5 linked regions of the Mus musculus genome follow. The protein of the gene in region 3 purifies or fractionates together with the protein of the main gene of each other region. This does not show direct contact. Links are inferred from orthologs where the notes say so. Each region holds a gene or a part of one and is shown on either strand. Other genes may lie near its edges. The genes, in order: Rnps1, Drosha, Srpk1, Ddx5 and Ssrp1.

What was found.
Region 1: the proteins of Srpk1 (region 3) and Rnps1 purify together in Homo sapiens (co-immunoprecipitation; 5 studies listed by BioGRID and IntAct, counting the BioPlex papers as one, with this or other methods). This does not show direct contact. The link is inferred for Mus musculus from reciprocal best matches to the Homo sapiens genes SRPK1 and RNPS1.
Region 2: the proteins of Srpk1 (region 3) and Drosha purify together in Homo sapiens (affinity purification with mass spectrometry; 3 studies listed by BioGRID and IntAct, counting the BioPlex papers as one, with this or other methods). This does not show direct contact. The link is inferred for Mus musculus from reciprocal best matches to the Homo sapiens genes SRPK1 and DROSHA.
Region 4: the proteins of Srpk1 (region 3) and Ddx5 purify together in Homo sapiens (affinity purification with mass spectrometry; 3 studies listed by BioGRID and IntAct, with this or other methods). This does not show direct contact. The link is inferred for Mus musculus from reciprocal best matches to the Homo sapiens genes SRPK1 and DDX5.
Region 5: the proteins of Srpk1 (region 3) and Ssrp1 fractionate together in Homo sapiens (co-fractionation; 3 studies listed by BioGRID and IntAct, with this or other methods). This does not show direct contact. The link is inferred for Mus musculus from reciprocal best matches to the Homo sapiens genes SRPK1 and SSRP1.

The regions. Positions count from the first base shown.
Region 1 is NC_000083.6:24,413,237-24,417,663, reverse strand, and holds the start of Rnps1 (RNA-binding protein with serine-rich domain 1), read right to left. Parts: upstream 2,990-4,427; 5' UTR 2,932-2,989; coding exon of another isoform or gene 2,930-2,931; intron 2,624-2,929; 5' UTR 2,502-2,623; exon of another isoform or gene 2,159-2,501; intron 1-2,158. UniProt on the Homo sapiens protein: Part of pre- and post-splicing multiprotein mRNP complexes. Auxiliary component of the splicing-dependent multiprotein exon junction complex (EJC) deposited at splice junction on mRNAs.
Region 2 is NC_000081.6:12,831,206-12,834,951, reverse strand, and holds part of Drosha (ribonuclease 3), read right to left. Parts: intron 1,124-3,746; coding exon 290-1,123; intron 1-289. UniProt on the Homo sapiens protein: Ribonuclease III double-stranded (ds) RNA-specific endoribonuclease that is involved in the initial step of microRNA (miRNA) biogenesis.
Region 3 is NC_000083.6:28,602,008-28,605,753, forward strand, and holds part of Srpk1 (SRSF protein kinase 1), read right to left. Parts: intron 3,380-3,746; coding exon 3,292-3,379; intron 1,538-3,291; coding exon 1,431-1,537; intron 847-1,430; coding exon 681-846; intron 1-680. UniProt on the Homo sapiens protein: Serine/arginine-rich protein-specific kinase which specifically phosphorylates its substrates at serine residues located in regions rich in arginine/serine dipeptides, known as RS domains and is involved in the phosphorylation of SR splicing factors and the regulation of splicing.
Region 4 is NC_000077.6:106,785,576-106,789,947, reverse strand, and holds the start of Ddx5 (probable ATP-dependent RNA helicase DDX5), read left to right. Parts: upstream 1-1,453; 5' UTR 1,454-1,631; coding exon 1,632-1,675; intron 1,676-2,873; coding exon 2,874-3,039; intron 3,040-3,403; coding exon 3,404-3,500; intron 3,501-3,588; coding exon 3,589-3,722; intron 3,723-3,815; coding exon 3,816-3,881; intron 3,882-4,372. Other genes in the region: Cep95 (centrosomal protein of 95 kDa), read right to left, coding at 571-589. UniProt on the Homo sapiens protein: Involved in the alternative regulation of pre-mRNA splicing; its RNA helicase activity is necessary for increasing tau exon 10 inclusion and occurs in a RBM4-dependent manner. Binds to the tau pre-mRNA in the stem-loop region downstream of exon 10.
Region 5 is NC_000068.7:85,035,756-85,040,067, reverse strand, and holds the start of Ssrp1 (FACT complex subunit SSRP1), read right to left. Parts: upstream 2,949-4,312; 5' UTR 2,740-2,948; intron 2,618-2,739; exon of another isoform or gene 2,538-2,617; intron 2,293-2,537; exon of another isoform or gene 2,275-2,292; 5' UTR 2,153-2,274; coding exon 2,099-2,152; intron 1,716-2,098; coding exon 1,530-1,715; intron 195-1,529; coding exon 89-194; intron 1-88. UniProt on the Homo sapiens protein: Component of the FACT complex, a general chromatin factor that acts to reorganize nucleosomes. The FACT complex is involved in multiple processes that require DNA as a template such as mRNA elongation, DNA replication and DNA repair.

The sequences.
Region 1 (4,427 bases), about 4.2 Mb from region 3:
CAAAATATTAGACACCACAATGGCCTCAGAGGAGAAAAACCCAGATTTGTCTTATTGGCATTGTTTTCTTTAAGGATACAATGAGTAACGAGTAGCTGGCACTTTGAGTGACAAGCATCAAAACATTACTCAACACAACACAACGTGCAAAACCTCACAGGAGAGCACTAAGACAGAACCGAAAGCTGGAGCGGCGGTGCAAGCCTTCAACCACAGCACAGGGGAGGCAGAGGCAGGCTGATTCAGAGCTATTCCAGGACAGCCAAAGCGACATAAAGAAACCCTGCCTGGGAGGAAAAAAAAAGAAAAAAAAGAAAAAGGCAAGAAAAAAAGTAAGACTGTCAGGTAGGTAAACCATAAACAAATAAGGGGAAAATGTGACTTGGTAGATCTAGTCAGCAGTCAGGTAGGCACAACTGTTGAAACCTCTGAATGGGTTGAGATCTTATAGGCAGTGTTAAGGGTTTAGCAATAATGCCACGTAACAGTAAGTACTCAACTAAAGACAGCTAATTCTCCCTGGGACTTCTCTTGGAGCAAAATACAAAAAAAGGCCTCAGGATACATCCTAACTCTTCTTCCTCACCTTCCTCAAGTGTAAGGCGAGAATACATCTTTTCAGAAACAGGGCCCTTCTAAATGCTGCTGAATAAGTCTAGCTCATGAGAACAGTTCCCTTCCACTACTTTGACAAATAGAAATGGCAAATGATTACCTATCTAGCTTCTTTCCAGGACTATATCTTTTCAGCTATCTTCCATGGTCTGGAGTAAGCAAGCAAGCAAGCCTGTGTTTCAGGCTTCAAGTCTTTTTTTTTTTTTTTCTCGAGACAGGGTTTCTCTGGGCAGTCCTGGCTGTCCTGGAACCCACTCTGTAGACCAGGCTGGCTTCAAGAAATCCACCTGCCTCTGCCTCTCAAGTGCTGGGATTAAAGGCCTGTGCCACCACTGTCCAGCTGTGGCACTCATTCTTAATTTTTTTTTTTTTTTTTGCTATCCTGTAGCTCTGGCTGTCACAGAGATTCCCCCACTTTTGTTTCCCAAGTGCTGGGATTAAAGCTGTGTACCATGACACCTTGCTGGGACTCATCCTTCCTGTCTCCTGAGTACAGGAACCAAAGGCTTATTCTATTAAAGACAAGGTCTCTAGCCCAGGCTGGCTTCAAATGTTCTATGTAGGATGACTTGAATCTCCTGCCTCCGCCTGGGATTATAGGCTTTCGATATGGAGCTGGAGACTGAAACCAGGGCTTTGTGCACAACAGGCAAAAGCATACTACCAAGTTAAGTAATCCTGACAATTAGCTCCCTAAACCTTGCTTGGCTAAATCAATCTATCAATCTGGCAAGGCACCCAGCTAAAAGCTCAGTGGTAAGTTTGATTTCTGGCTGCTTAGTTAACTGTGTTACAGCTCAGCTGACTTTTGGATGAGATCACTAAAAGCAGCACTGTCCATGAGTGTGAACCATGAGCACACCCTTTAATCTCCTTTCAGCCAAGTCACAAAAGTTAGTGAAACCTTTCTTATTTTTTTTAGAAACAAGAACTGGGAAATGAGGCTCTCGAGTTCAAAGGTCTGTCCTGGTCTACTTCCAGGACAGGCAAGGCTACACGAAGTAACACTGAGCCCAGTATACTCAACAAGACCTCTACCATTCACAAGTACTGACAGTCCAAAATTAAAGGCTTTTTCCCCCCTATTGAAACATGGTCTCACTAGGCAGCCCTGGCTAGCCTAGGTTGATCAAGCTAGCCTCAAACTCTGACTTGCCATCTGAGTGCTGGGATTAAAGGCAGTGTGTGGGTCCCAAAACTAGTTTTTAACAAAATGAACATTACCTTTGTAACATATAATCAACATAAAATTACTAAATTTCTTGTGGGTTTTCTATACTAAGTCATTTAAATCTGGTATGTACTTTTGGGGTTTGGGTTACTATTCAAGTGCTTCATACCAGTGACAAAGGGTAGAGATCACCCTTGTGCACCCGCACCCCGACCTGCTGGAATGTACTTTATGAAACAGGCAGAACCCATTGTTAAGCAGTCTACAAATTATGAACTGCGGCGTAAGCGAACTCTTTGCTGGGTGTGGTCGAGTGCTAGAAAGCAAAGGTGAGGGTCTCTGTTCACTCAAGCTCAGGTAACAGCTCAGGACCTTGGTCACCTCTCCCATCCTCCGGAAAGGTGTGCGTCCAACAGTCAGAGAGAGGAGAAAACAAATGGTTAAATCTCGAGCAGAGGGCGTCTTGGCAATCTGAAAGCACTCTCTACATATAAAAGCACATCGGAGACACAGTGCCTACGAAGTAACACAAGGTAGAGAAAGCAAGCCTCCACCACGTCTCTACCATCAACCATAACCTTCCCATATCCTCTCCCGCTGAGCTCCGTAACCGTGCTCGGTCCATCCTAGGACGGATCCTCAATGCCCAGAACTGAGAACTGCACACTGGATTCCGACAGACACTCGTGGAAAGAGATCTTTAAAGGAAACCAACCTTTTAGGCCGGCTCGCAATCTGCACCGTCCGCTCCGGCCACAGACATCGACCTCGCCTCCCACCCTCTTTCTCCACTCACTACTCAGGTCGGGCCCGGTGTGGCGAGCCTAGGTCTCCAGCCTGACAAGAAAACAAGAGAAGCGGCAGGGCTCGCAGCTGCTGGAGTCCTGCAGGCTAAAGCGGGTCGCCGCCGAGCGAACCGTGCGGGATCACCCTTCCGTCGGTGACCGCCTCGACCACTTCCGGGCCGCGGCCTCGACACCTCCCACTCCGCCCGACCTGAACCACACTCTCTCCTCGGGCTCTGTTCCTCGCCGGCGGGCCTCTGCCGCACTGAGGAACGCAACCGGCTCCACGATGCGCCCCGCCAAGCCTGGCAGAAGGTCCCCGGAGGTCGGATGCAGCCGGATTCCTACCCCGACTTACATCTTCCCAAGGCCGCCACCTCCTCCCGCTCTTCTCAGACCAGGACGCCGGCGCAACTTTGTCGTCAGAGGTGAGAAGCGGGAAGGCGCAGCCGTCGTCGCGCGACGATGACGTAAGCACACTCAGCCAATGCAAGTTAGCGGTGGAGGACTAAAGGACAGCAACTGTGTGTGGGCGGAGCGTCGTAGCGCCTACGGTCCCCCCCCCCGCCCCCCCTCCCCGACTGGTCTAAAGTTTCCTGGACTTGTTTTGCTCATTCTGAAGCGCGCGATGATTGGCTGACCGGCACCAGAGGTTTGTGCTCTTTGGCGCCTACCGGATCTGTGTGGATGGAGCTACTCGGGTTGCCTCTGCTGTCATTAGGATCTAAGGCACCCTGCTGAGGCCGCGTTATTGTAGTAAAGGGACAGGCTGGTACGGACGGTGAGTTCCTATGGTCAAGTCTCTGGTAGTTAGTGGTGATTGCATAGATATGGTCTCTGTGCTGGTGGGATACAGCTGACTGGGTGTAGCGGGCGGCCGATGAGGCCAGAAAGGAAAAAAGTTTGAGGAAATGTTGAAGGAGGTTTCTCCCAGGAGACATTTCTGACAAGAATGCGTGGGGCAGAAGGAACAGCAAAGGCGTTCAGGATCGCTGGGAGAAGAAGAGGCACGCTAGTCTATACCGGGGTTACGTCAGTAACTTCTTAGCAAGGACATAGAGGATCTGGTCTCTGCACGAGGCTAAAGAGTAGCACCCGCCGTAGTGCCCCGCCTCCCGACTTTGCCAACACATTCTTTTGTTTGTTTGTTTGTTTGTTTTGTAGCCCTGGCTGTCCTGGAACTCACTCTGTAGACCAGGCTAGGCTGGCCTAGAACTCAGAAATCTGCCTGCCTCTGCCTCCCAACTGCTGGGATTAAAGACGAGCGCCACCGCCCGGTTTGCCTAGCACATTCTTGCTCCGTTATTTGCGGAAGAAAGGGATATGCACACAATCCCCGCGGTTATCTAAGTAGATTTGAGGCAGGAACGAAGAAAGAGGAACAGAGCTAAGGTGAGCTTCAGGAGGAAGGTACAAAGGTGACTTAGATTTGGATTACATATTGCTGTGAAAGATAGGAAAGTGGCCAATGTGCACTTTGGTGATCCCGGAGAGATGGAGAGAAGAGATTATCTCGGTCCAAGGAGCTGGGTGTGTCCTGTGGGACAGTCAGGAAGAGGAGCCTGCTTCTGAAGTCTGCTTTCCTGAGGTATTCATTTTTTGGGGTGGGGTTAGCAGATCTAGACAGTTTGGTCTGGTACCCTTGTTGGATTTAAGATTATTTAATGTATAGGATATTAGGGATAAGCTGATTTTCTTGCATTGCTGTTGTGTCTGCTGTGGTCAGACATGAGTGGTAAGTGGATGCTAGCTGTTCTCTGGTGGAACGGAACAAATAAACGATGACCCTCACTTACATCATCCAGTCTGGGTTATTCACACTAGAAAGGCTGAGAGCCAGTAGCTTTCTAAGAAAC
Region 2 (3,746 bases), on a different chromosome or scaffold from region 3:
CAACTTACTTGTCAGTCTTCCTTATAAAAAGCCTAAACTGTGCTTTTTTTTTTTTAATTAAAAATCAAAGTGCATACCAGGCAGTGGTATGGCACGCCTTCAATCCCAGCAGTAGGAAGGCAGAGGTAGAAGAATCAAAGCCAGTCTGGTCAACAGAGTGAGTTCCAGGATAGCATGGGCTACACAGAGAAACCCTGCCTCAAAAGAAAACGGGGTGGGGATGGGGGGTTGTGCACAAGTTTTTGTTGCCCAGCAGACAGCTTTATTAAGGAACTTGGCATGGGCTCACCTGCTCCTTTCATAGCTGCGGTGGCGAGGCGGTGGCGTTCTCCCCCGATCATAGTCTGAGCGGTAGCGGCTCTCAGGTCTTCTCCTTTCAGGGCTGCGGCCGCGCTCCCTGCGCTCCAGGGACCGATGCCTCTCGCCTCGCCCGTGACTGTGATCTCGGTGCCTGTGGTCGTCGTAGTGCTTGAGCCTTTCTGGGGACCGCCTCTCATTCTGAGCCTTTGGGAGTGAGTATGGTGGGAGGTGTCGAAAATGAGGAGTGCTGCTGCTGTTAGCACTGGGTGGGAAAGAGCTGGAGTTGTTCTGGTAACTGTTGAAGCCGGGCGGTGGGAAGCTGTGCGAGTACCCAGGGGGGTACTGGTAATTAACCTGCTGCGGCATGACGGGCGGGGGCGGAGGGTGGGGCATGGAAGGAGGGGGCACCATGAAGGGGAAAGTGCCTTGTCCGGGAGGTGCTCCGGAGGCAGGCGGGTTATTGGGACAAGGCATCGGAGGGGGCATGGGTGGAAAACAGGGAGGCACCGGGAAAGGGTGTCTCATCTGGTGGTTGGGGTAAGGCGGCCTCACTGGGCAGGGAGGGAGAGGCCCTTGGGCAGACGGCGCCGCTGGGGGAGGGTAAGGGACAAAGTCTGGCCGTGGGGGCATAAAGCTGGGGGCCTGAGAGTTCGAGTAGGAGGAAGAGGGGGCGCTCGGAGGCTCATATTGATACTGCGCAGGCGGCTGCTGGGGATGAAGAAGTCGCAGGTTTTGGGGTCTGAAAGCTGGTGCTGAAGGTCTGGCTCCGTGTCCTCCTCGGCCCCGGGGACACCCTCGTCCTGGGTGGTACGACATTCTATGACTTTTTAGAGAAGAGAAAAGGAGAAATCAAAACATGGGCCTCACCAAGACCCTCAGTGTGGAGGGAAGTGATTCCTGCAAGCTGTCTCACACACACACACACACACACACACACACACACACACACACACCTCGCGCGCTCGCGATCTCTCTCTTTCGCACAGCATGCACACACACACACACACATACACCCCTCGCGATCTCTCTTGCACACACCCGTGCGCACGCGGGCGCGCGCGAGCACACTCACACACGCACACGTGCACGCATGCGCAAAACACACATGCGCATGCGCACACATACACTTAATACACGTACATACGCTTCCCCCCCCCCCTCACGCAGGTGCACGCACATACGCACACACGTAGGTACAAGCATAGATTCATGCGCATGCTCACGGACTATAAACGTAAATTTTAAAGTAAAATTTTAAAAACCTCATGAGAACCCAAGTTCGGGCCCCGGAGCACAACACTAATCAAAAAGCCAAACACGGCGGATGTGCTTGCAATCCCAGAGCTGGGAGGGCAGAGGCAGGAGGATTCCTGAGGCTCACTGTCCAGTCATACAGTGAGATCCTGTCTCAAAAATAAGGTGGGTAGTGCCTGAGGAGAAAATTACACAGGCACACACACATCACTATGTACACACTATGCAAACAGGTTTCTTAAATACCTAACTACCCGTACACAATTAATCAGTACCACCAAAATATTCAACCCATATAAAAGAATTTTTTTTCCTAAAATCTTTATAGCCAGCTGTTTCCCGTCTCTTCCACACAGCCCACCACTACAGCCAATCCCTGGACCCTTCTCCTCTCCATTTCCTACCCTTGCCCACATGTCCCTCTAATCTTGCCCAGTGTCTTAATAGCTCATTTGTTAAAACAGCCTATATAGCTCTGACCCACTCTACTTTAGTGGGCACCAGGCAATGCCTCGGACTTAGGAGGAACCAACATTTCATTCCCTGAAGGCCAGGGAGAAAACAGGACTGCTGAACACCACTTAAATGGGCAGGCTGGTGCCCATGTTAATACTTCAATCAGCTTCTGCCAACACATCCCCGGCAACCTCCCGCAGCCAGTTTACTTTCCAGGCCACTACGGATGCTGGGTGCCCTCTCTGGGTGTGATGGTTTGTATATCCTTGGACCAGGGAGTGGCACCATCTGGAGGTGTGGCCTTGTTGGAATAGGTGTGACCTGGTTGGAATGGGTGTGTCACTGTGGGTGTGGGTATAAGATCCTCACCCTAGTTGCCTGGAAGTCAGTCTTTCACTAGCAGCCTTTGGATGAAGACATAGAACTCTCAGCTCCTCCTGCGCCATGCCTGCCTGGATGCTGCCATGTTCCCACCTTGATGATAATGGACTGAACCTCTGAACCTGTAAGCCAGCCCCAATTAAATGTAGTTTTTTATAAGACTTGCTTGGTCCTGGTGTCTGTTCACAGCAGTAAAACCCTAACTAAGACAGAAGTTGGTACCAGGGACTGGGGTATTGCTGTGATGGGCCTGACCATGCTTTTATTTGAAAGAATGTGGATTTTTGGACTTTGGATTTGGAACACAGTGGACTGTTTTAAATGGGGCTTAATGGGTCATCCAAGTAGGAATATGGAAGACTTTGTTGCTGGGAGTGATTTGAACTGTGTTGACCTGGCCCAAGAGATTTCAAAGGAGAAGAATTTCAGTATGTGGCATAAAGACCGTTTTTGTGGTATTTTGGTGAAGAATGTGGCTACTTTTTACCCTTGTCTGAAAAGTCTGCCTGAGGCTAAGGTGAAGAGACTTGGATTAATTGCATTAATTGCATTGACAAAGAAAGTTTCAAAAAGGCCCAGCAGAGACTCTGTTCTCTGGTTAAGTCTCACAAAGAGAAGTTTGAACAAGCATAGCAAGCTTAGAAAGGCAAAATATAAAATATATGGTTCGAGTATTAAAGGAGTACCAGGAAGTGAAATGGAGCAAAATCTTGTGTTCTAGGAGATAAAAGATTAAGGGAGTGGGACCTTGGGGCAAGATTCTACCCAGCTGAATTTAGATCCAGGCATGGTGGTACAAACCTTTAATCCCACAAGACAGGCATGCTGATCTCTGCATTCAAGGTCAATCTACAGAGCAAGAACCAGGATAGCCAAGCTTAGGCAGTGAAGGATTTAGGAAACATAAAGCTAGTGATAATGTAATAGTACAAGGGGATCATGTTCTAGTTCCTGTAAGCAGCAGAACTCGGCGGCTTCAGCCATGTGGCTCGGGCTCTAGAGTTAAGAATGGAAGGAACTACTGGGAAAATTGATGCTGGTTAGCTGGAGCTAAGGAATTAGCAGTGATTAAGAAGAAACCAGCATCACTGAGTTGAAATCTGGGAGTTGTTTTCTGGGAGCACAAAGAAGCTGTGCTCCAGAGATACCCAAGGTTGTACCTCATGCTGCGGCTGGACTTGGTAATGTGTAAGAGTCACTCAGGTGGTATTGCTTGTGAAGGAATGAAGGGATCATGGAGAGAAGCTGAGGCTTAGCACTGTGAGAGGCCAGGGAAGGCCATTGGAGAAGGTGAAGCCTCAGCTGTAGTTGATGGCCCAGGACTGAAGGGGTCATGAAAAGGATTTGAGGCTTGG
Region 3 (3,746 bases):
TCGCCCGGCTGCACCACGGGAGTCCAACTCCCACAGTTCCTAACTGGGCCAAGGTCTCCTCGATAAACACAATCCAGCAGCACTTGCTACTTGACAGTGTCAGTAGGTGAGCATGTGTGAGCACCAAGAGGCAAACCACAGCCAGCCACCCAGGGAGCACCCAGTGTCATACAGCTACAATCTAGGCCCCGGGGAGCCTAAGACAGAAAGATCAGGCATTCAAATTCAGCCTGGCCTACATACTGTATAAGAAGACATCCTAAAAAATGAAAATGACAGTGGTCAGAAGCCTGGTTTAGCAGGCAAAGACAGATGCTGCCTCAGTACCTTGGTCTGACCCCCAGGAACCACGTGGCAGAGAAAACTAACTCCTGAAAGCTGTCCTAACACCCACATATACTGAGCTACATGCCCCTACAAAGGAGTCAATCAAATGGAAAAGCCCATCAAATAAAAACACTCTAAAACAATAATGTAAGTCAGCTATTTTACTATATCGAATACTTTTTATCTAAAAAAATAACAACTGTTCATTTTCTTCCCATTTGGAAGAAATACCAGTCTCTTTAATGTTGTTACTATCTCTAAAATAATCAGTGAGTACAATTCTGCTGTTTTGTGAACAAATGAAAACAGAAATTCCTCCTGAGGGTCTGACTCAAGCAAAGCACCCCATGTACCTGCAGACCCCGATGGTGGGGGAGCTCCTGAGCGCTGCCACTCTGTGGCCTCTGCAGCCAGCCTTCGAATGTACTGCTCATTCACAGACAACAAGATGTTCTCTGGTTTGATGTCCGTGTGGATGATCCGGCACTTGGTGTGTAAGTAATCCAGGCCCTGTAGCACCTAAGTGAGAATAAAGCAGGAGCTTCAGTAACACACGGTCCAAGCCTGCTGGGAAAGGAAGAGTCACAACGCACAGAGAGAGGGTTCGCAGGTGCAGCTGGCCCAGCAGCGAAGAGCATTGGGTTCTTCTTCCAGAAGACCCAGGCTCAATTCCCAGCAACCATATGACAGCTCACAAGCACCTTAAACTCCAGCTTAAGGGAATGCTCATCTGGACTCTGCCTATGCATGACGTAGACATGGAGGCAAACACCACACAGACATAAGAAAAAAACAAACTAAAACAAAAGCCCACAATGCCAAGTTTTCTTGTCTCCACACTCGCATGCAGACAATTTCCAAGTGAGTCACTTCCCAGCCCGATCCTCAGTCTGTGTTTTGTCAGGAGAAAACACCGGAGGTTTTTAAATAAAGATACCATCAGCCAGGTGTAGTGGTGAAACCCTCTAATCCCAGCACCCAGGAGGCAGAAGCAAACTTAAGTTCTGGGGCAGCGTGGTCTACATAACATAGTTAGATACTTCTCAAAGAGGCAGGCAATAGAGGGGAGGGGTATCCCACATAGCAATAACCAACATACATACTTGCTGAATAATTTTTTTGACACAAGGCAGCGGAAGCCCCTGATAGTTGGACTTGATGATCCACTTGAGTAGATGATGCCCCAAAACCTCAAACACCATGCAGATATCTAGGAGTTCATTAAGGAAAAAAAAAAAAAAAAAAAAAAAAGAGGCCCAAGGAAGCAGGTAGACTCCAGCATCAACAGTCTTTTCAGTCACAGAACTACTTTAAAAAAGTTGGTTTAGGGGGCTGGTGAGATGGCTCAGTGGGTAAGAGCACCCGACTGCTCTTCCAAAGGTCCGAAGTTCAAATCCCAGCAACCACATGGCGGCTCACAACCACCCATAATGAGATCTGGTGCCCTCTTCTGGTGCGTCTGAAGACAGCTACAGTGTACTTACATATAATAAATAAATAAATAAATAAATAAATCTTTAAAAAAAAAAAAGAAAAGAAAATTTAAAAAAAAAAAAAAAGTTGGTTTAGGAGGAGAAAACACACTCAGAAGGTGGAAGGAAAGATCAGTCTAGTCGTCCCCTCAGAGTCAGGTTCCCCTCAGAATATCGGGCTTGTGTGTGTGTGTAACATGACCACTCACACAGGCTCAACATGAAGAACAAAGAAGATGCAAAACTTAACTGAAAGGTGAAGGTGGCAAGCTCTCTGCCTGTGGTAGAGTGGAACATACCTAGTGTTTGCGAGGGAAGTACCTCGGCACTGGACTAACCCTCCCTGAGAATTTAAAAACAGATCCCTGACTCGCTTTATACAGACACTCCATGCATCGATCTTAATGCCTGCGTGCTGCCTACCCACGGTCTCTTCATGTGGCCCAGACTGGGTGGAGAAGCACCACCACTCTGCAGGCCATTGGGTTAGCATCCTACTTTAGGGTCAAAGTTAACATAAAGAGTTTGAGGAGAGGCAGCACACGTTTACTAGAGAACACCAAGGCCAAGTAATAAACTGCCACAGTGGGAGAACATGGCGCCTGTGGACTCAGCCTCCGGAGAGACCTGTAGGCGACCTATGAGACCAGTGTCATACAAAGCATGTCACCTTCACAGCGGGCAGCATCTCAGTGATAAGCCTGATGGATCTGCTCACAGGTGCTGATACAGCACGATAAAGAACACACATCCCTCAAGGTACAATAGACAAAACTGACAAACCCGAGAAAGCAACCACAGACCTAAATTAAGGGATCCGACAGGTGGGCTCTTTTTTTTGAGACAGGGTTTCTCTGTGTAGCCCTGGCAGTCTTGGAACTCCCTCTGTAGACCAGGCTGGCCTCGAACTCAGAAATCCGGCTGCCTCTGCCTCCCAAGTGCTGGGATTAAAGGCGTGCGCCATCACTGCCTAGTGGGCTCTTATTTGCCTGATTCAAACAGACAAACTTAAACAGATGATGGCAGGCACTGGGCAACAGGGGCAGGAGTCCCTCAGGAGGAAGGTCTTGAGACTCTAGGTAGACTCTCAGTTGTGAATCTAGGCATCCCAGGTGGAAAAACAACAAGGTACCAAAGGGAAAGCTAGACCACCATGGTGGATATTTGCCGATGTCCCTTTTAAGTATTCACGAGTGCCCACGTACCAGGCACAGAAGCATCAGGAAGGATGGGAAGAGGACAGTAACCAGCTTCTGCTCAAGGGCTGCAACTATGCACTCACGCACGCAAAACCAGAGAGAAAGCCAGGCGGGGTGACGCACGCCTTTAATCCCAGCAGTAGGGAGGCAGAGGCAGCAGACGTCTGAGTTTTGAGGCCAGCCTGGTCTACAGAGTGAGTTCCAGGACAGCCAGGGCTACACAGAGAAACCCTGTCTCGAGAAAACAAAACAAAACAAACAGCAGCAACAACAAAAAAGCTCTTAAAGGATACGTGTTCCATTAACGCCTGATATTTTAAAGTCATCTAGTAGTTGAACAACCATTTCTCCATTTGGATCATTCGGGTCTGAGTTGCGAACCTGTGTTGGGAGGAAGCCATATTTTAGCACAAGTGAAGTAGTACAGTCAGTCCTCAAGTAAACAGGGAGGAGCAGGCTGTCTGAGCCTCTTTCCCACACTGCTGTTACTACAACCCACCATAAAAAATGAAAAGAAAGGCTTTGGGTAAGATAAACTTGTGTTGAGGTATATTTATGACTCCTAATAGCAGCAAAATTAGTCATGAAGTAGAAACAAAAATAACTGCATTGTTGGGGAGGGTCAGCACACCATAAGGAACTGCGTTCAAGGACCGCTGTGTTAGGAAAGCTGAGAACTACTGCTCTATGCTGTGTCTTTTTTTTTTGTTGTTGTTGTTTTTTTCCCCCCTTTTATTGGCTATTTTCT
Region 4 (4,372 bases), on a different chromosome or scaffold from region 3:
TCATGCCCAGTATGCCCTCTTCCCGATGCCTATGTCGCACAGCTGACCAAGCCATGACAACCATTTTGGAAAGAGAGGAAAGCGTCCTAGACAACCGAATCAATTGGCTTTTCAAAGGCAGTACTAGAAAATGCCAGTTACTCTAGAGGGCATCAAAAGAACTTATGAGTGCTATGCCTCAAAAAGGAAAAAAAAATCAATATAAAGATAAGTTCTGCCTTAGTCCAAACAAAGCAAGGGGAAAGAGAGACAGTCTGTGGATAGATACCCCACAAAAATTCGGATCCAAGAAAGGATCTTGACTGCTCTATATAGACAGGATGCGGGTGTCCCAGGCTCGACAAAGAGTTCCTATCTCATCCCAAGTCTCAGTTCCACGTCTGGAAACCGCAAGAGGTTTCGAGGCTGAGACCCTAAATTCATAGAACCCCCCCCCCCACCGCGCGCGCGACTGCAACTAGTGTCCGACAGTCCCGAGCCTCCGCAGCGGCGCAGACGCGGTTCAGATTCAGCCCAAGGTCCGCGGAATGCTGCAGTACAAAACCACCAGGGCTCCAGGCCGAGACTCACCAGCCTCTGAGCTGGCCATACTGCCAGGAGAGGTCGCGGCCGGACTCCAAGACGAGAGCGCGGGCGACGGTGTCCCAGAAGGGTCGAACTCGGTCGAGCCGACGGGAGGAGGAGGGGGCAGACACTAGCGAGCGGGGAAGGAGGGGTGGAAGAGGGAGGGACGTTAAAACGGCTTCTCGACGCTGATTGGACAGCAGAGGAGCACTTCCTCGCAGCACGCGCTGAGGCGGCAGTTTGCGGGCTCCAGATACCATTCCCCGCGGTCAAGATCCCGCTTACGGGTTCTCAGATCGGCGGGCAGGGCAGCCAGGTCACCCAGCAGCCCGGCCGATCTCCCCGGGGGCGTTGGAGCCGCGCTTCCGGTGAGTTGGTGGTTTGGTGTTCCTCCGCCGAGAGACCAAGCGAGGAAGTAGTGCGATCCGCCTTGCCCTGGGTCCGATCACGTGATGAGGCCAAGCTCCGCCTCCCTGGTCTCCTTCGGTTATGGGCGTGGGGGGAGTCTGTGGAGACGTAAACATCTTCAAGTAGAGTCGGTGGAATGGCTGGCGCTGGCCATTTTAAGGACCGTCTGGCCACGGGGAAGCAGCTTGTCTGAGGTGTAGCGAGACGAGAGACGGCGGTGTCGCCAAAAGGGCGTCGGGGCGAGGCATTCTAGTGGTGTCACCCAGTCGTGAAGCGAGTAATAAACGGGCGCCGGGGAGGGAGCGCCCGCCCGCGGAGGGGGAGGGGCGAGAACATGGCGGATTCCGGAACCCGGGCGGGCGGGCGTTGAGGGCCTCCGAGCCAGGGGGGCGGGGTGATTAGGTCATAGAGCGGCTCCCAGCGTGCTTTGCGGCGAGGAGGCGGTCCAGACTATAAAAGCGGCTGCCGGGACGCAGCCGGCACCTCATTCATTTCCATCGGTCCTTGCCCTCGCAGCTCCGGCCCTCGACACCACCGGCCCCTCCGCTGGTGACGCCCCCGCAGAGGCTTCGCCGTCGCCGAGGCCTTCTCTCCGCGACTCGTCGCCGCAGGATTCTACTTTCACTGGGTTCCGCCCGCACACCGCCACCATTGACGCCATGTCGAGTTATTCTAGTGACCGAGACCGCGGCCGGGATCGAGGGTGAGTGTGACAAGAGACCTGTCAGGCCGGGTGGGGGATGGGAGAGCGGCGCGGCCGAAGGCTCGCCTTCCCAACCGACCTTTAGATTTTTTTTTTTCCCTTCCTGAAAGGAGGCCTGGCTTTTGTCACACGTCCGGTTAAAAGCCGTTAAAGGCTACGCTTCGGGTAATGGCGTTCAACCTTTTTTTTTTTTTTTTTTTTTTTTTTTTTGGTCCGGGAGGGTGGGCCGGGACCCGGGGCGGCCCGGCGACCTCGCGGCTGTTGAGGGAAACCCGGAGGAGTGTTTTCGGTCGGGAAGCGCCGCGCCTTTGAGGCGGTTCCCGGCGTCGTTTGCGCAATCTTTCGTTGGGTTGTTTTTTGAGGGGGGCCCCCCCTTCCGGTATCCCCGGGGGAAAGAAGGGGCGCTTTCGAGGTCCCCTGTGCCCCGTTGGGTGGCCTACGCCGGCGGATTCGGCCATGTGGCGGAGCCGCAGCCACAAAATGCCGGCCTCGGACATGGCGGCGGCGCCTTTGTTACCCCGCCCGGCGGAGGAGCTCAAAATGGCAGCGGCGAGAAAATGTGGCGCAGAGAGAAATGCGAGACAAAGAAGGAAGCGCCGCCCCAGCGGGAACGCCGCCCGGGCCGGGACTCCTCCCCCGGTTGCTTTCGGCTCCTCCTCTTTTTCTCCCTCGCGTTATATAATTTTGTTACCTTGGTTTGCAGCCGTTCGCGGCGTTTCCCTAGACTCGGCTCGCTGGCGCCTGTTCCCCTTTCTACCCTGTCCGCCGTGCTAGCCTCGTTCAGCTGCTCACATTGCCTTTGCGGCCCCGTTATTTCTTTAAGATTAGGTCCTTTGATGAAAACGGGCAAAAATAACCTTCCTAAGCTCCTCCCTTCTTGCCCAGCTCCTAGACGCTAATGCCTAAGCTCTGTGGGGAGAGAAGATGGAGGCTCTAACTCTTGTCCTTGTAATCTGGTCAGATGTTTGGGCTGTTTGCCACCTGATAAACCCACGATGTTTATTTGGCCTCAGTAGAGTGTGCTTGGGACTTCAGAAAAGAAACGCTGCCAGTTGTGGCTGTCCTTAGAATGACAGTTGGGAAGGATTCCAGAAGCACACTTTGGCTCTATCAAAAGGCAGCAGATGAAATGTGAGGGCAAACCTGTTCATGCAGTATCTTTCACAATGTGCCCAACTTTTGTTTTGTGTGTGTGTAGGTTTGGTGCACCTCGATTTGGAGGGAGTAGAACAGGACCCCTCTCTGGAAAGAAGTTTGGAAATCCTGGGGAGAAACTAGTTAAAAAGAAGTGGAATCTTGATGAGCTGCCCAAATTTGAGAAGAATTTTTATCAAGAACACCCTGATTTGGCAAGGCGCACCGCAGTGAGTTTATAAATGTGGCTTCTTCATGCTGTAACTCAGTAACTGCTTCTAGTCAATTAGATGGAAATGTAATAGGTGCCTTGCAAATGGAGAGTTGCTTGTGGTGCACTTCCATTGAATTTTTCTTGTGATATATGGTGCCCTATTTTAATCCTGTCACTGGGGAAACAGGTTTAGCAGTCTATTGGGCTTCATAGAGACTCAATTTTCATTTAAATAAGTATTATAAATTAATTATTAATTTTTGTTGCCAAGTAGAGTTCTTATTTATGGGTCCAGATTTTTAGAAATAAGTATGTTTAAAAGTTTATTGAGCTATAGGGAGCATGGCAGAAGTCTGAGGCTGAGATAATTTGTTTTTCAGCAAGAGGTAGATACATACAGAAGAAGCAAGGAAATTACAGTTAGAGGTCACAACTGTCCAAAACCTGTTCTGAATTTTTATGAAGCAAACTTTCCTGGTAAGGACTAACTTTCATCTTTATCCTTTCATTTCCCCCCCCCCCCTTGCTTATAAATTTGTTTTTAAAATGGTATTGTTGGTTGCAGCGAATGTCATGGATGTGATTGCAAGGCAGAACTTTACTGAACCCACTGCTATTCAAGCTCAGGGCTGGCCAGTTGCTCTCAGTGGATTGGATATGGTTGGAGTAGCTCAGACTGGATCTGGGAAAACATTATCTGTAAGTCTAGGAAAACTTGATAAATTGTGGCAGAGGTGACCTTAGATATATAACTATTTTAATCCAATTTCTATTATTTTTACTCTTCAATAGTATTTGCTGCCTGCCATTGTACACATAAACCACCAGCCATTCCTAGAGAGAGGTGATGGGCCTATTGTAAGTATTATCTTAAGTTTCCCACCATATTTGCTAAAACTCCTTTGACTTTCATATAGGGAATATAGGGTTGCCAGTATAAACTAGCCACTTAAAATTAGTATCCAGCCCAGGCGTGGTGGCACACACCTTTAATCACAGCACTGGGGAGGCAGAGGCAGGTGGATTTCTGAGTTCCAGGACAGCCAGAGCTACACAAAGAAACCCTATCTCGGGGGGAAAAAATTAGTATCCAAAGACAGTTAGTTGGATCAGCCAATTATAGATACTTGTCATGAGCCTGATCAAGATCAACTACCACAAGGAGAGACCAACTTGCAAAAGTTGCCTTCTGGTTTCTCCATGTGCTTCCACACACAAAAATTTTATCCTGAGAATAGTGCCTGGGAGGTAGAAACTGGAGAATTCAGGAGACACTGTCTCAAAAAAAAGTCTTATGACCACCTGAATTCTAATTCCCAACACACGAAGACATAGGGTCTTAGTAAACT
Region 5 (4,312 bases), on a different chromosome or scaffold from region 3:
TCAGAACCAAGGAAAGAGTACAGAAAGGTACCATCTGAGGCCCTCCTTCACCCCACCTTCTCCCCAAACCTCAAGCTTGCCCACTCACCTCCAAACTTCACTGTCCCCCAGTTCCAGCCCTTCACACACAGATCCTTCTCCATTAGCTCAAGGCGATAGTGAGTTTTGAAGAAGTCAGAGAGTTTCTCAAACTCCTGTAAATCAAACGGAGAAAATGCAGATCCAGTTAAACCTCTGGGTCTCAACACAACTAACAGGTCCTGAGAGTCTCTAGCTCAGGTCACCAATGTATCTTCCTCAGGAACTTCAGCTAACTGAGTATACCAACTCCAAAACTGTTTCAAAACAATTTCCCTTTGTTAGTGGAGACTGTTTCTAGAACCCAGATGCCTTCTGCCCTACTCTTCAAGGATGTCCTTCTTCCAAGCCTCTTTCCTTCCCTTAACCTTTGTGCTTAAAACCTTTTAAGTGCTAGAGACCTGATGGCCCAGCAGTTAAGAGTACTTGTTCTTGCCAGAAGACCTTGGAGTCCTTCTCAGCGCCCCACAGTGGTTCACACCTGTCTGTAACTCTAGTTCCAGCTGATCCAATGCCCTCCTCTGAGCTTTGTGGGCACCGGGCATGCACATGGTGCACAAGCTAGCAAAGCCTCATACAGATAAAATAAATACTTTTTAACGAATGAAAATTATTTTTTAAGACTTATTTATGCCAGACAGTGGTGGCACACACCTTTAATCCCAGCACTTGGAAGGCAGAGGCAGGTGGATTTCTGAGTTTGAGGCCAGCCTGGTCTACAGAGTGAGTTCCAGGACAGCCAGAGCTACACAGAGAAACCCTGTCAAAAATAAATAAATAAATAAATAAATAAAATTATTTATTTTATATATGAGTACGCTGAAGCTGTCTTCAGACACACCAGAAGAGGGCATCAGATCCCATTACAGATGGTTGTGAACCACCATGTGGTTGCTGGGAATTGAACTCATGATCTCTGGAAGAGCAGTCAGTGCTCTTAACCACTGAGCCATCTCTCCAGACCCTGAAAATATTTTTTAACAATAACCACAAAAACTTTTTTTCTGGGCCTCTGGCTAAGAGTAGTAAAGAAACTTAAATTCCCAGATACATGCATCACCTGAGTTTCTAAACTTTGTGTAGGTGATCTTTTGATGAAAGTGAATATTAAAACCAAGTAACTCAAAAGCAGCTCAAAATGGAAAAGCAAAATCCTAGAGCACCAAGCTAAGATGCTGAGCCAGGACAGAGGGAGCAAGTGGAAACCATGGTATAAGTTAAGATGGTAGAAAACCTCCTGGAGTCCAGGTACACGACACGTGTACTGAATACACAACACTGTTTTTTTTGTTTGTTTGTTTTGTTCAATAGTCTCCAACAGCCTTGCTTCGAGGAACCCAAATGAGCAGTAACATGATTATCAGAGAAACGCCAACTGTCTCTAGAAGATTAAAAATAAAAAAAGACAAGGCAGTTACAAAGAAAGTGGGTCACAGAACAAGATCGCTCACCGATTCGCGGAAGCCATCGTACTTGTAGACATGCCCATTCTTTGTGAGCAGTTTAAGCCCATGGCCTAATGCTACCCGACGCCAGATGCCTTCTGTCAACTCCCCAGCCTGGATGTTGTCCACTTTGCCCGTCTTGCTGTTCTTAAAGATGATACCCTGACGGCTCAATCGAAGCCTCCCATCATTCTGCCCAAAATACAGACCCAAAATCAGAACAGGGTAGTGTGTAGTGGATCCTTTCTACCCCTTACCCATGGGATGCAGGATGGCCAGAGTATCAATTGAAAAGCGGTCGTGGTGAAATCAAGTTAAAAGACACAACAGACATTAAGTCTAGACTGCAAGCTTGGCTCTGGCATCAGAAACCCTGTAAGGGCCCCAGTTTCCTGGTTTTCTAATACAACTCAACAAACTCAACATCTTGCAACTCTTTGAGACTTTGCTCACGTTTTCGCTTGGGGGACACACTGATACACTGTTTCCAAAAAAGTAGTCAGAGTTAAGCTTTTCGTTCATAGATTCGAACTCTTTCCCCCTCTCTGCCTTTCTTTTGCCCAAGCCATTCTCACCATGGACCCTTTCACCTCCTGGAAGATGTCGTTGAACTCCAATGTCTCTGCCATGTTCACCTGCCCGTGGTGGCCTGAGCACACAGCCCTAGGCTGCACCAGAGAAAACGAACCCTTCTCTGGATGCTGTGCCCCAATTCCTGGTTAGTTGTGTAGATGTCCAGCAGGGTGGGAATCTGAATTCGGGAAGGAGACTGATAAGCAAGAAACAACGCCACCTTACTCCGCTCAGCCATGTACCTGGTATGTCTCAAGTTCTTTGCTGCCTGGGGATCTTACTGACCCGTTCTGCAGGGCTCCTGAGGCCAAGGCCCAGGACCCTAGGTGCAGAACCAGGCCTATAGTGGCGCTTACACCCCAACCCGACACCCTCTCGGTACGTTCCACGGACAGGCACGGCAACAATCGGCGGAACCTGAGACCCGCTCAGAGAGCGCACCTCAACTCCGCTCAGAGGGTAGTGTCCTGATCGCAGAGACCCCACCACCCCGGGGCCCCGCGTGAATCTACGTTTCTCCCCCTTCTTTTAAAATGGATTCGCCCATTGCCCGCGAATTTGAACGCGGATCGATCCATTCCGATCGTCCCGCGGGGGAGCGGGGCCCATGCACACCAGGGGCCCAGGGATCGCGACCACCCACCTCTAAGAGCTGCAGCCTCGCGACGGCACAGTGAGGGCGGTGGGCGCAGGGGGACGCAGGGGAGGGGGTAGGGATGCGGGGGAAGGGATGCCGGGGAAGCTTTTCCCGCGTGCGCAGCCCCGCGTCCCGCCACCGGAAGTCGCGCACGGACCATAGAGAGGAAGACTTGGCTAGAACGGCATCATCCGGGCCGACCAACGGGTACATTCGCCTAGAGCGTCGGCACTCCCCCTGGTCGGCTAAAGCGAGAGGCTTGCTATGGAATCCCACGCGGCTGAATTCTTGACTAGAAAACGGGAACACTCTTTAGAAAGTTACAAGCTGCTCTTCAAAGACTAGATTCCGAAGGGAAATTATGCGGTTTTATTAGGTGTTCAGGTTTGTATGTTTGTTGGAATCATGCACGCCCCTCCCTCCTGTGAAATAATCTGGGAAGGAGTCTGTTGAACAAGAAAAATACAGAGGTGTAGCCCCACTAGCTGCAAAGGAGATGCGGGTGTCGGCGATTGTGCTTGCTTTCCAGCTGTACCCTGGCAAGTAGATCAGATCCTTTCTGCAGTGAGTTCACCTACCCCCAACACTATCCTGTCCATATCCCTAATTTGTGGGTTCTCAGGAAGAGCCTAGCAGATGGCTGCATTAAATTCAAGTGGTGGTGTCGGATTTACCTTTGAGCTAGAACTTACTTGAAATCACATCAGCCTACGTTGGCAGAAGCCCGGATGGCCTCACATAGCACCGGAGTGCATCTTGCAAAATCTGAAGCCAGGTCTGACAGAGATGCTTGAGTTTATCTCATTTTACAGATGAGAAAAATGAGACCACAAAAGATTTGCGACTGGGTGTCAGTCCATTACCATCAAAACTGGAACCTAGAACACAGACTCTTTAACATCAGCCTTTTATAATCATGAGGGTTCAGGGTTTAGAGTGATTGCTAGCATATGTCCTACACAAAGACAGGATAAGCCCACAGTTTCCCTGAAATATCACTGCACTGACTTGCTAACTCAGTCCTGGGATATGATATAGATAAAAATGTGTTTTGTCATTCGGTGCTTGTGGCTTTAACCACTATCATTGCTAGCACTATTTAGCTAAGTCAAACTGGGCTTAAGACATAATGAAAACCTATTAATGCAGCACGTTTCTAGGATCTGACAAAACTGTTGAAGATCGTTAAAATAGCCCAGCCTCTTAGGAGCACATACCCTAACAAAAGATTTTAATAACTTCGGGGTTTAAAAAGAGAGGGAGTTCAGTAATTTCTGTGCAACTTGAAGAGTTGCAACCAACTAGAGTTAGAAATAAGCGACTTTCCGCTTTGTAGTATTACAAATCTGTAATCACAACACTCAAAGACTGGGGCAGGAGGATTGTGAATTTGAAACATGGCAACATAACAAGTTAGACAACATAATGAGATGCTGGAGGGCAGAGAGGAGGAGATGGTAAGAAATGCGTGTCTTCCTCCCAGGAGACACAGAACTGTCAAGAACCCTTTCTCCCTATTTGTGCTATTAGATAGAAATCGACAGACACTCAAGAGTGGAGTTCTTGGCTCAGGCAGATG